Linked DNA regions of Xenopus tropicalis. The protein of the gene in region 1 purifies or fractionates together with the protein of each later gene. This does not show direct contact. Links are inferred from orthologs where the notes say so. Each region holds a gene or a part of one and is shown in the gene's direction. Other genes may lie near its edges.

What was found. The genes of interacting proteins can lie anywhere in the genome.
Region 2: the proteins of g3bp1 (region 1) and vcp purify together in Homo sapiens (affinity purification with mass spectrometry; 3 studies listed by BioGRID, with this or other methods). This does not show direct contact. The link is inferred for Xenopus tropicalis from reciprocal best matches to the Homo sapiens genes G3BP1 and VCP.
Region 3: the proteins of g3bp1 (region 1) and stau1 purify together in Homo sapiens (affinity purification with mass spectrometry; 3 studies listed by BioGRID and IntAct, with this or other methods). This does not show direct contact. The link is inferred for Xenopus tropicalis from reciprocal best matches to the Homo sapiens genes G3BP1 and STAU1.

Annotation. Positions count from the first base shown.
Region 1 is NC_030679.2:16,830,780-16,834,630, reverse strand, and holds part of g3bp1 (ras GTPase-activating protein-binding protein 1), read left to right. Parts: intron 1-1,692; coding exon of another isoform or gene 1,693-1,711; coding exon 1,712-1,806; intron 1,807-3,315; coding exon 3,316-3,397; intron 3,398-3,475; coding exon 3,476-3,649; intron 3,650-3,835; coding exon 3,836-3,851. UniProt on the Homo sapiens protein: Protein involved in various processes, such as stress granule formation and innate immunity. Plays an essential role in stress granule formation.
Region 2 is NC_030677.2:212,825,784-212,829,723, reverse strand, and holds the start of vcp (transitional endoplasmic reticulum ATPase), read left to right. Parts: upstream 1-1,140; 5' UTR 1,141-1,253; coding exon 1,254-1,270; intron 1,271-3,940. UniProt on the Homo sapiens protein: Necessary for the fragmentation of Golgi stacks during mitosis and for their reassembly after mitosis. Involved in the formation of the transitional endoplasmic reticulum (tER).
Region 3 is NC_030686.2:38,141,391-38,145,422, forward strand, and holds the start of stau1 (double-stranded RNA-binding protein Staufen homolog 1), read left to right. Parts: upstream 1-1,232; 5' UTR 1,233-1,437; intron 1,438-4,032. UniProt on the Homo sapiens protein: Binds double-stranded RNA (regardless of the sequence) and tubulin.

The DNA of each region.
Region 1 (3,851 bases):
TTGCAAAGTCTTGAATGCGAGCGTGTGAGGAGGGAATGAGAGAGGAGTTGAGGAGCAGGTCAGTAGAGGAGCGTAACAAGCGGGTTGGATGGTACCTAGAGATGAGTTCAGAGATGTAGGGTGGGGCAGAGTTATGGACTGCTTTAAATGTGAGGGTCAATAGCTTGAATTTTATCCTGGATGGTAGGGGAAGCCAGTGCAGGGATTGGCAGAGCGGCATGGCAGAGGAGGAGCGGTTGGAGAGGTGTATGAGCCGGGCAGCAGTATCTCAAGCACTGCAGCTATAACAATACTGAAGGAAATGCTTGCTGTGCAGCCCTGTGGCTAAGTGGTTAATAGAGATTATCCATATTTTATTTACATACATCTCTATAGGTGTGCCTTCACTTAAACTATCATTTTTAGAAGGGCTTTTCTCAAGAAACTTCATGTTAAAATTACAGCCACAGTGTTATATTGTCCTGGGGCTGTTCGGTGGCAATTGGTTATGCTGACTTCATCACACATACTCGACTGTCAATCATGATTTCTCTTGGATATTTTACTAATCATATTACAGAAATTTTCCTGCATTTTTCCTAATATGCCCCTTCTTAGAGAAACTATAACATGTAGTTTAATTTAGCTTTCCAGCCTTCTCCTTGAATTTGCATTTGTATAGGCTTTCGCCGAATTCCTAGCAGTCTTAAGAAATGTGAGCAGGAGATATTACCAGTTGCCATTAATAGTCATGCTTGTCTTGGCTAAGCTTTCAATGTGTAATGTAGCTTATCTTATTTTATTTTGCTTTAGTGTTTTCCACCTTTTTTGACCTGACTTCCTTGGCGTTATTTTAGAGGAATTTTGTTGTCTTTGTATGCTGTTGCTAGAAACAATTCAACCATTATTGCATGGTTACATAGTAATTAATCTGAGCCATGTGACAAGCAGGCTTAGAGATGCTGAAGTCACAAACTGTAATAAGCTCATTAGGCTTCTTGTATTCATTTAAGTTAGAAGCTGTGTTGCAACTTCTAATGTTAGCCCTCCCTATTTAAAAACACTAATGGAATGTGTTGCTTAAGCCTGTGCAGTCTTGTTAAGCTGTATCGTCCCTTAAAAGAAAACTTTTGTCATGCAACTTTTAAGTTACCTATTGCCATAACATTTTTATAGCTAATAGAACATTAGCCCATATAATTTTTAGCTGTTTCAGTTATCAATGATTTAAAACAGTTTTGTTGTAAAAAAAAAAAAAATAGAATTTAACAGGTGTGGACTCGTCTTTTAACCTTTTATGTGTCTGCAAACGTTTTACCGTTGTGCTGGCAGCGTGCTTGCACATGAGATTTGTCTTCTAAGGTAAATCTACACTAAAACAGATGACGGACCGTCTAAAAATGCCCCTTGCTTAAAGGAACAGTAACGCCAAAAAATGAAAGTGATTTGGAAGGCTTGTGTAGTGCTTTCAGTCATGCCAATCCATTGGTATGTTGTGCACTTTGGCAATGCGTTAAACTTTGCTGATCTGATGGCCCAAGGCTTCTTGATGAAATCACTGAATGTATTTTGGTTTGGCCAGAGACCTTATAGTTGTGCCAGTAATGGTAATCGCTTTCTTCATATTATTTGCTTTGATTATATTTTTGCATTTTGTAAACCATTTTTCCCCCCAGACCTGGCCTAAATTATATTTTTAATATTTTTGTTTAGATTTCAGTTGACCAAAGAAATGGTGATGGAGAAGCCAAGTCCCCTGCTTGTCGGGCGGGAATTTGTGAGGCAGTATTATACTCTGCTTAACCAGGCACCAGACTTTCTCCACAGGTATGTTTTACACAGTAGAGCTTTACCTTTATTTTTTTTTTATTCTTATTTATTTACCGTATATACTCGAGTATAAGCCAATCCGAATATAAGCCGAGGTACCTAATTTTACCTAAGAACTGGAAAAACGTATTGACTCGAGTATAAGCCTAGGGTGGGAAATGCAGTCGCTACTGCTAAGTTTCAATAATCAAATAATTAATAAAAGGACACTCGGCGTGACCCTCTGTGAACTCTTCATAAATATATCATGTTGGCAGCTGCAGATTAGAAAAGGTGATTAGGGAAAGGTGGATGGAGGACCCTTTGACCCTCCTGCCTTTAAGTTTATGCCACAATAACAGCCTTCTTGTAATCATGCCATTGATTTCTGATTAACCTCCTTTTATCGCAAAATAATCAGTATCAAGAAGACTACATACTTGTGCTTGAAAGTATGTAGTCTTTTTGATACTGATTTAGCACGCACTTCTCTCTTTGCTATGGAAATCTACTTTAGAATTGTTACAAGCAGAGTCTGAGAGGCTGTTTTTTGGGGTGTAAGGCAAGGGCCCCATGGCTAGAAAATCATCTTAAAAAGTACAATTGAAATAATTTTAGATAGTGTTCAATTACCCGATTACCTGCTTCAGTTTATGCCAGCATGCGTGCCATCCATGTGTGTGCACCCATCCACGCTGCATACTAAGTATCACTGTGCTGTCCCCCCACCCCACCCCGTGCGCAACAGCACAGTGTCCGAGTATATCGACTCGAGTATAAGCCGAGGGGGAGTTTTTCAGCACATTTTTCATGCTGTATGTAAACCGGTTCAGACAGATGGTGTGTTTTGTTCCTGCATCTACATCTCACCATCAATGTGTTTTAATGAGAAACAAGTCTGTCAGACACAATTATATTTTCTTGTCGGATTAAGATGCCGCATGCACTTTTTCCTCAGACAGGGTGTGGCTTGTTGGATGGCAAATTTTTCATATAGTTTACACATCAGATTTTTCTATTAGTTTTTTAACCCTTTCACTGCCAGCCGTTTTGGTCAAAGAGGAACTTGTATTGCCAGACAGTTTAACATTTTGCACTGTTTCACTTTAGGGGCCTTTCCTCGGGGGAACTTTTAGTCTTAATGTCTAAAAATTTAAAAAAATCATATTTTTCATAATATAAACACATACCAGAAACAAAAATTTTATGCACAAAAATACAACTGATTTGGAAAGTCCCATGTCTCCTGAACGTGCCAATACCAAATATATATAGTTTTATGGGATCCAGGAAGCTGGGAGCAAGAAGCAGACACGATGATCGCAGGGCCAACATGACAGCCCCCTGGCTCATTGCCCAGGGGGCTGTCATCACTAAAAACTCTGCAGAGAGTGTCTTTATCTGCCAAACGACGTTATCAGTTTAAGTTTCTTTAATAGGCCACATATGATCTGTTGGTTATGGTTAAATATTCGTTCTGGGAGTATAGTTTTCCTTTAAAGGAATTCCCTTTTTTTTTTTTGTTAGGTTTTATGGAAAAAGTTCTTCCTATGTTCATGGTGGCTTGGACACCAATGGAAAACCTGCAGAGGCTGTTTATGGGCAGACTGTAAGTATATCTTGAAGTCATAACCATTTCAAAGTCAGATCACAAGAAATTGTGCTAATCATTTCTCCTTTTCTGCAGGACATCCACAAAAAAGTAATGTCTTTGAATTTCAAAGATTGCCGCACAAAGATCCGCCATGTTGATGCGCACGCCACTCTGAATGATGGCGTAGTGGTGCAAGTCATGGGAGAATTGTCGAACAACAGGCAGCCTATGCGTCGATTCATGCAGACATTTGTATTGGCACCAGAGGTGAGGTGCATTTATTTTTGTACTTGTATTATTATTATTTGTATTACATGTTATGTGCCAATGTTGGTAGATTGCAGCATCATTCTCTTCTCTCTATGAAGAATTTTGTCAGAGGTTAATGCTCCTTAAATTGTCATTTTTGCCAGTTTTCTTGAATGTGATTAAGATGAATATTTTCTTATTCAGGGCTCTGTGGCAAACA
Region 2 (3,940 bases), on another chromosome or scaffold:
CCTAGGGCCAAACGATTGAATTAACCCGATATTGGGCACCTTAGATGGGAATATCAGGAGAAGAGCCACTTGTTTGGGGAGGTGTATGGCCACCCTTTAGGTATATCTGTTTAAAAACAAACAAACATATATTCCTATGTTTATGTACCTTGTTCCATGTGTAAAGAATGGGGACATATTTCCCCTTTAATGGCTTTAAGGATTGGAAGGAATGTTTATATGAATAGAAACAATTCCCACCAGGTAACTTACTGCCAGTTAGTCCAGCAAAACACCATCAGTTCCCCACAATAAACTGAACCATTAACCCCCTGTGTGCCAGCTTCTCTCCCAGTGCCAGGCCTGCCCAATGTGTGATATTATGGCACTTTGTGGGTCAATGTTACCTCAGCTCTGGGCAGGTAGGGGAAATTACCCACAATGCATTGCCTTACAGACAGGGCAGATAATGAGCGATCACTGCCATGTGAGGGGCAATAGATTGAGAGCTTGTAGCCCAGGAACTGCAGGGGGAGGGGCTAACATGTAGTACAGTTGGGGCACATGTATTACTCCTTATGGGTGAAGCTACTAGTGGGTGCATGGCTACAGGCCCAGGGGCCATATCACATTACAATGGCCAAACTTCATTTATTGTATGTGGCTGGGCGCCATATTCCATCTGTTGTGAGTAAATTGCCCTGTCACGCCGCTCAGCGAGTTGACTGACAGTCGGCCAACCTCAGAATTTGTTTCTCTTTTGTGCGGCTTCTTCCTGGTGACACGCCCCCTTTTCCGTTTTTTGACCAATCCCAGTCGGCCAGACGCGCAGTTGCTAGGAGTTAGTAGGACAGACGCGGTAGGCTCCTTCATTGCAGTGCGCCTTCATCTTTACGGACCAATCAGAAGCGGCGGCCGGGTAGGACGCTAGAGGCGTGGCCTATATCCCATCATTCCTTGCTCATCACCCGTCAGTTCTGGGCCCCGCTGATTGGTTGCAGTATTAAGACGCAAGCGCAGACGGCGGACAGTGATGCTGCACTTTACCCTCCTGTGTGTGTAAGCCCCGCCCAGCCGCCGGCGCTCCTCCTCCTTTCCCTCGGTCAGTCACACAGTGAAAGCGAGAGAACGGACAGCGGGGCAGCGAGCGGAGCAGCGAGAGGGAACAGCGGGACTCACAGGCGGGACGGGACCGAAACACCTGATAAGCGGCAGGAACCGAGCGCTCAGTTTCTCCTTACCGGCAGCGGAGCGGCACAGGCCGGACACCGAGCATGGCTTCCGGATCCGAGTGAGTTACCGGGGAGCGGGCTGAGGGGGGTCTGTGGGTGCCGGTGGGACGCCGCCGCCGGGAGCTCCGCCCATTGGCTGGCACAGCGGGACCCGGGGTGTGCGGCCTACTGCGGCCTCCTCATCCTGCTGTGTCATGCACCCCTCACAGCGGCACCTACCGGCAGGACTACAACTCCCAGCATTCCCTGCCAACAGCCGGCCCCAGTGTTATCTGCTGGGAATGGTACCCTGCCTGCCGGGACTGACCTACAGGAAACCTGCCGGGAGAGCCTTGTCTTTTCCAGTGGGTCACCTCTGGCTGCCTTGGGGGATGCTGGGAGTTGTAGTCCAACATCAGGATTAGGGTGCCCTGCCTCTAATATCATCATGTCTGGGGCCCTAGCTGCCCTGGGGGATGCTGGGAATTGTAGGCCACTAGCAGCATGGGTTTATACTGTATGACATTAGTGGGGTACAGGGAGTCTGCAGTAGTACCAGGCCTTGTACAGTGGCTGATCTCCAGCTGCTGTGGGGGATGCTGGGAATTGTAGTCCAACATCAGGATTAGGGTGCCCTGCCTCTAATATCATCATGTCTGGGGCCCTAGCTGCCTTGGGGGATGCTGGGAGTTGTAGTCCAACATCTGGATTAGGATCCCCTGCCTCTAATATCATGTCTGGGGCCCTAGCTGCCTTGGGGGATGCTGGGAATTGTAGTCCAACATCAGGATTAGGGTGCCCTGCCTCTAATATCATCATGACTGGGGCCCTAGCTGCCTTGGGGGATGCTGGGAGTTGTAGTCCAACATCAGGATTAGGGTGCCCTGCCTCTAATATCATGCTTGGGGCCCTAGCCGCCTTGGGGGATGCTGGGAGTTGTAGTCCAACATCAGGATTAGGGTGCCCTGCCTCTAATATCATGCTTGGGGCCCTAGCCGCCTTGGGGGATGCTGGGAGTTGTAGTCCAACATCAGGATTAGGGTGCCCTGCCTCTAATATCATGCTTGGGGCCCTAGCCGCCTTGGGGGATGCTGGGAATTGTAGTCCAACATCAGGATTAGGGTGCCCTGCCTCTAATATCATGTCTGGGGCCCTAGCTGCCTTGGGGGATGCTGGGAATTGTAGTCCAACATCAGGATTAGGGTGCCCTGCCTCTAATATCATCATGACTGGGGCCCTAGCTGCCTTGGGGGATGCTGGGAGTTGTAGTCCAACATCAGGATTAGGGTGCCCTGCCTCTAATATCATGCTTGGGGCCCTAGCCGCCTTGGGGGATGCTGGGAGTTGTAGTCCAACATCAGGATTAGGGTGCCCTGCCTCTAATATCATGCTTGGGGCCCTAGCTGCCTTGGGGGATGCTGGGAGTTGTAGTCCAACATCAGGATTAGGGTGCCCTGCCTCTAATATCATGTCTGGGGGCACTAGCCGCCTTGGGGGATGCTGGGAGTTGTAGGCCACTAGCAGCATGGGTTTATACTGTATGACATTAGTGGGGTACAGGGAGCCTGTAGTAGTACCAGGCCTTGTACAGTGGCTGATCTCCAGCTGCTGTGGGGGATGCTGGGAGTTGTAGTCCAGTCACCGTATCTAGTTGAACGCTGGTTGCTATAGAGAACCTGACATTGGCAACACAGGGTACCCTTTGGGTATAATAGGAGCCATAGCTGGGCATGAGGGTGGGTATCCATGGAAACCTGCCAGAAATGAGGCAACTTGCCGGGAACTCTTATTGGCCCTTTGTCTGCATCCCAATCTGAGCTATGGCTGATGTACCCTATCAAATATGTATAACCCTGCCCATTTGGGCCGCTGGCACACTGCCTGGGTGTGAGTATGTGCCTGTGGCCCAGTGCCAAGGTGCCAGTGGAACTGCTTTATGATGCTGGCACCGGTGCCCACAGCTGCTGGCACTCACAGCATAGAGAGGGGCCGTGCCACCTCATCCTAATCACTGGCCAGTTAGTGGGGTTTGGGCAGGACCTACCCCTGCCATTACAATGGTACGTTCCAGAACAGGCAGTGCAGAGAGATACACCAGGGTTATACCAACTGCAGCTGGGGGGGTTATATCTGTGTGCCCATGCCTATTGGCTGACCCTCGGGCCCCCATGTGCTCTGGGCCTGCTCCCTGCTGGGTCCCTGCGCTTTGCCCAATGAATGGTTCTCCCCTGTCAGCACAAATGCCCCTGCCCCCAGAGGGAACGGCCATGCTAAGCTTTCCTGCCCCTCGTGAGAGAAGCCCCCCCCCCGCACTACAGTCTGACCTTCTGGATCCCCAGCGCCCACCTACCTACCTGCCCCTGGGCTCTTGGGGTGCTCTCCTCCCCTTCTGCTCCACATTTATATAAATCTCTATACATTTGCCCAAACCTGCCCAATATTATATGGAGTAGCCCCCCCATCCCCCCTCCTTGTCCCAACTCTCTTTATAACCGGTGCCAAGCGATACCCTTAGCAACCTGGGTGTTATTATCCCCCCCCCTGAGGTGAGAAGTGGAACTGCAGGAGACTGGAGGAGCCCCACACACACTTGGCTGATAGTGATACCCCATTGGGAGATGCTGATGTATCCAGGATCCCGTACCCTGTGGGTAAATGGCATCTGTGCCCGCTAATTGGCAGGAAATAGGGCTGTACTTCTGGTTCTGACTCTTCAAACAATGTAGCCCTTCCCCAGTTCTGCAGCTGGA
Region 3 (4,032 bases), on another chromosome or scaffold:
GGATCCTAACACTTTTTTTTTTTAGGTGTTACAGTCTGAACTCTACAGCCCAAGTCACAAGGGTGCTCAGGAAGCTGTGTTGCTGCTCATTTACCCCTAAGGCTAATGCCAGAAGTGGCGTTTTTACGCTGCGTATTTTCTCCGCCTAAAAACGCCACACAGCCCCTGACTATGGCGTTTTTCAGCCTAGTACTGGTGACGCAGCAAATCCCGTTTCCATGGTGCTAATAGTGCGAAATAGTAAAAACGCCGCCTATTTCCGCTAGGTCTGGCAGCTGCCTTTGTGTATACATAGGAATAGCTTGCTGTGCAAATACTGGCGTATTTCGGCCAACGCTTGAAAAATCCGTGCTAAGGCGTTTTGTATGGTATTTACGCATAGTGTGGTTTCCATCGAGACTGTTTAAGTTATTTCTACGGATGATGATATCGTGCGTTTTTCAGCCGCCGAGAGAATTAGAAAATACGCAGCGTAAAAACGCCACGTGTGGCATCAGCCTAAGAGCATGCAGCCATTTGCAGAGTCCTCCTTACCTGGGCTAGGTATTTCTGGGGCTGAAGAATGAGGGGATTTGGGGAGCAATTATAGGACAAGAGAGAGATGGACCTTTGGGAAGGGCATCATAAAGGGACTCTGGAATTCCACCCAAATATCTATGGGAAGCCCAGGGGCTTGGTGATTGGCTCATTCAGAGTTAACCCTGTGCTTGTTGATGTGAAAGCCTTTGGCTAGTTGCAGCCTGGGCAAGCCTCAGCTGGAGGATCGCTCCTAGGTCTCTCACAGTTCCAAGCAGGTGTCCCCCAACCCCTGTGAATAGGAGGCATTTTCTCTATAGCCCCCCACTGAGTAAAGTTTCACACATTCTCTCACATGCAAGGAAAGGCACAAAGTCCGCCCGGGTACCGTAACCAATAACAACCAATAAGGTTTGCTTTTACAGGAGGCAAGTAAAAGGTCATTTTTGATTGGTTGGTACAAGTGGGACCCAGCGCACACCTTGCACCTTTCTCAGCTCCATTGATTGTAAGATTCCCAGCCATAGCCATGTCAGAGGGAAATACTACAGATACTCAGCCCCGGGGGGGTGCCAGTAGTGTAATCAGCATGATTAAACCCGATTAAACCCGATTAATCCCCGCAAGCCTATTCCCATTGCCGCATCTCACAAACACTCCGCCAAGCAGACACACACCAGCCGGTACTATAGCCCCGCCTTTCCTTCATTCCCCGCCCCTAAACCATTCCGCCCGGCTGGTGACGTCACTTCCGGAATCTCCGGCTCTCCATTCTCTTTAGTGTTTGCCGTGTCCGAGTCTCCCCCCTTCCTCTTTCCGCCGGTCTCCTGGTACCGAGCCCCCGCTTCACTACATGGACTAGGGTGTGAGCGCCTTCCCTTCCACTCCCGGGCACACAGCAGGGACGAAGACAGAGAGAAGGTGAGCCAGCGGGGCTGGGTGGGAGCGGGGCTGGGTGGGAGCAGGCCCACTGGCAGGGGGGAGGGAGCGCCTACTGGGCAGGGACTTTGCAAAGCGCTGGGGCGTCTGGGAAATTGTTGGTCCCCGACTTGGATACTTCTTCTGTACCCACCCCAGTCTCTGTCTCACCCTCCACCCATATTCCTGCCCATTGTGCCCTTTGCACCCATACACCTGCTCACTATGCCCACTGAGCCCAAATCCCTGCCCACTGTGCCCTCAGCGCCCAAACCCCTGCCCACTGTGCCCTCAGTGCCCAAACCCCTGCCCACTGCGCCCTCAGCGCCCAAACCCCTGCCCACTGCGCCCTCAGCGCCCAAACCCCTGCCCACTGCGCCCTCAGCGCTCAAACCCCTGCCCACTGCGCCCTCAGCGCCCAAACCCCTGCCCACTGGGCCCTCAGCGCCCAAACCCCTACCCACTGCGCCCTCAGCGCCCAAACCCCTACCCACTGTGCCCTCAGCGCCCAAACCCCTGCCCACCGCGCCATCAGCGCCCAAACCCCTGCCCACTGCGCCCTCAGCGCCCAAACCCCTGCCCACTGCGCCCTCAGCGCCCAAACCCCTGCCCACTGCGCCCTCAGCGCCCAAACCCCTGCCCACTGCGCCCTCAGCGCCCAAACCCCTGCCCACTGCGCCCTCAGCGCCCAAACCCCTGCCCACTGCGCCCTCAGCGCCCAAACCCCTGCCCACTGCGCCCTCAGCGCCCAAACCCCTGCCCACTGCGCCCTCAGCGCCCAAACCCCTGCCCACTGCGCCCTCAGCGCCCAAACCCCTGCCCACTGCGCCCAAACCCCTGCCCACTGCGCCCTCAGCGCCCAAACCCCTGCCCACTGCGCCCTCAGCACCCAAACCCGCGCCCTCAGCGCCCAAACCCCTGCCCACTGCGCCCTCAGCGCCCAAACCCCTGCCCACTGCGCCCTCAGCGCCCAAACCCCTGCACACTGGGCCCTTTGTACCTAGTGCACCCCTGCCCTCACATCCTTCCCCAGTGGCCCCTCTATAGACCCTCTCAATGTTCTTGCTCCCATTGTGCTCCCTGCACCCACATCCTCCATCTGCAGTGTCTCTTGTTATACAGTTCCAATATGCTTTTTAGATGCCGCCCCTGTCTGTGCATTATTACAGTATTCGTACCCATGAGCTTTTTCCCTTCATACATATTTATTGTGCCCCCCGTACTGTCCATACCCTGTGTGCCTCCTGCTCTCTACATACCCACTGTGCCATTAAAGCTGCTGCCCCCCTCTGTACCTATCCAGTGTGCCCTCTGAACCAACATACCTGTGTAATGCGCCTCCATATTTAGTAAACTCTTTGCACCCCTATTCCAAATACCCCACTTTATAGTGCGTCTCACCTAGTGAGTGTGTCCGGTTCTGTGCTCCCCATTTCCGACACCCACTGCACACATTTCCCTGAGGTGGTGCGTTACATTATACGCTACATGCACAGCAATTACCATATTAAAGGCAAAGTAGAACCACCTCATACAAACACACAGTGATCTGTCAGCGCGAGGACAAGCTCCTGTGTAGTTCTGCCCTATGGGTGCCCTTCTACTGCTTTACCCAGACTTATAGGGGATATGAACCCAAAATGACACAATGCACAATTTGCTTAATTAACAAAAATGCCATTCTAAGCCACTTTCCAATATACATTCTTTAAAACCATTGTCAAGTTCTTTGCAAATGTAATTGCTAATAATGCATTTCTCTGTCCCATTCTGCACTGTAGCAGAAGTTCTTCTCAGCTGGTCTGGGTCAAAAGTCAGAATCAGCCGAGCAGAGAATATAAACAGCCAGACACACACTGCTTTCACTAGCACCTATATTTAGAGAACTTCAGAACAACTGAAGCTTGGTGTTTCATGTGTATTGGAAAGTATTTACATTTTCTATCCTTAAGCAAAAAGGCAACATATATAAAAAAAAGCAATTGGATAATTGCAAACTTCCCCTTGCTTTTTAAACATTGGGTAAGGGGACCTCTCGTCACCGCTTGCACAGTGTTTCCCATTGCAGCAACTCGCAGTGCCGCTGTGCTTATGGCTACATAGGCAGAACCCTTGCTCCCAAATGTATCTTTTTTTTTTTGTTGTTAATATAAAAAAGGGGAAATTCACGGTACAGTTTAGTTTTAGTTTGCAATCTTCCCTATTTTTATGAATTTTGGAAATCAACTCACTGACCCCCTCAGACAAAACCGTGTCTGAATAATCGTAATTTAATTTAACAAAAAAAAAAAAATTAGCAAAGACAACTTATGAGTTTTATAGTTGCTGGGGGTTGTTGACCCTAGAAACCAGATGGCTGTTTCTCCCAGCAGCGGTGGAAGAGGGCAAAATTTGATATAAATATGGCAGCAGGGCAGGGAAACGTTTCCAAAAAGTATACGTGAAACCATGGTAGCGGATTTCATGACAGAGGCTTGCGAGTACAACCACCAATAACCAATCAGATCCCTGCTTTCACTTTCTAACTTGGAGTAAGCTGATTGCTAATTGGTTGTAAAGTAATGGTGCATTTGGGTTTGTTAGACAGAAATCCTACAC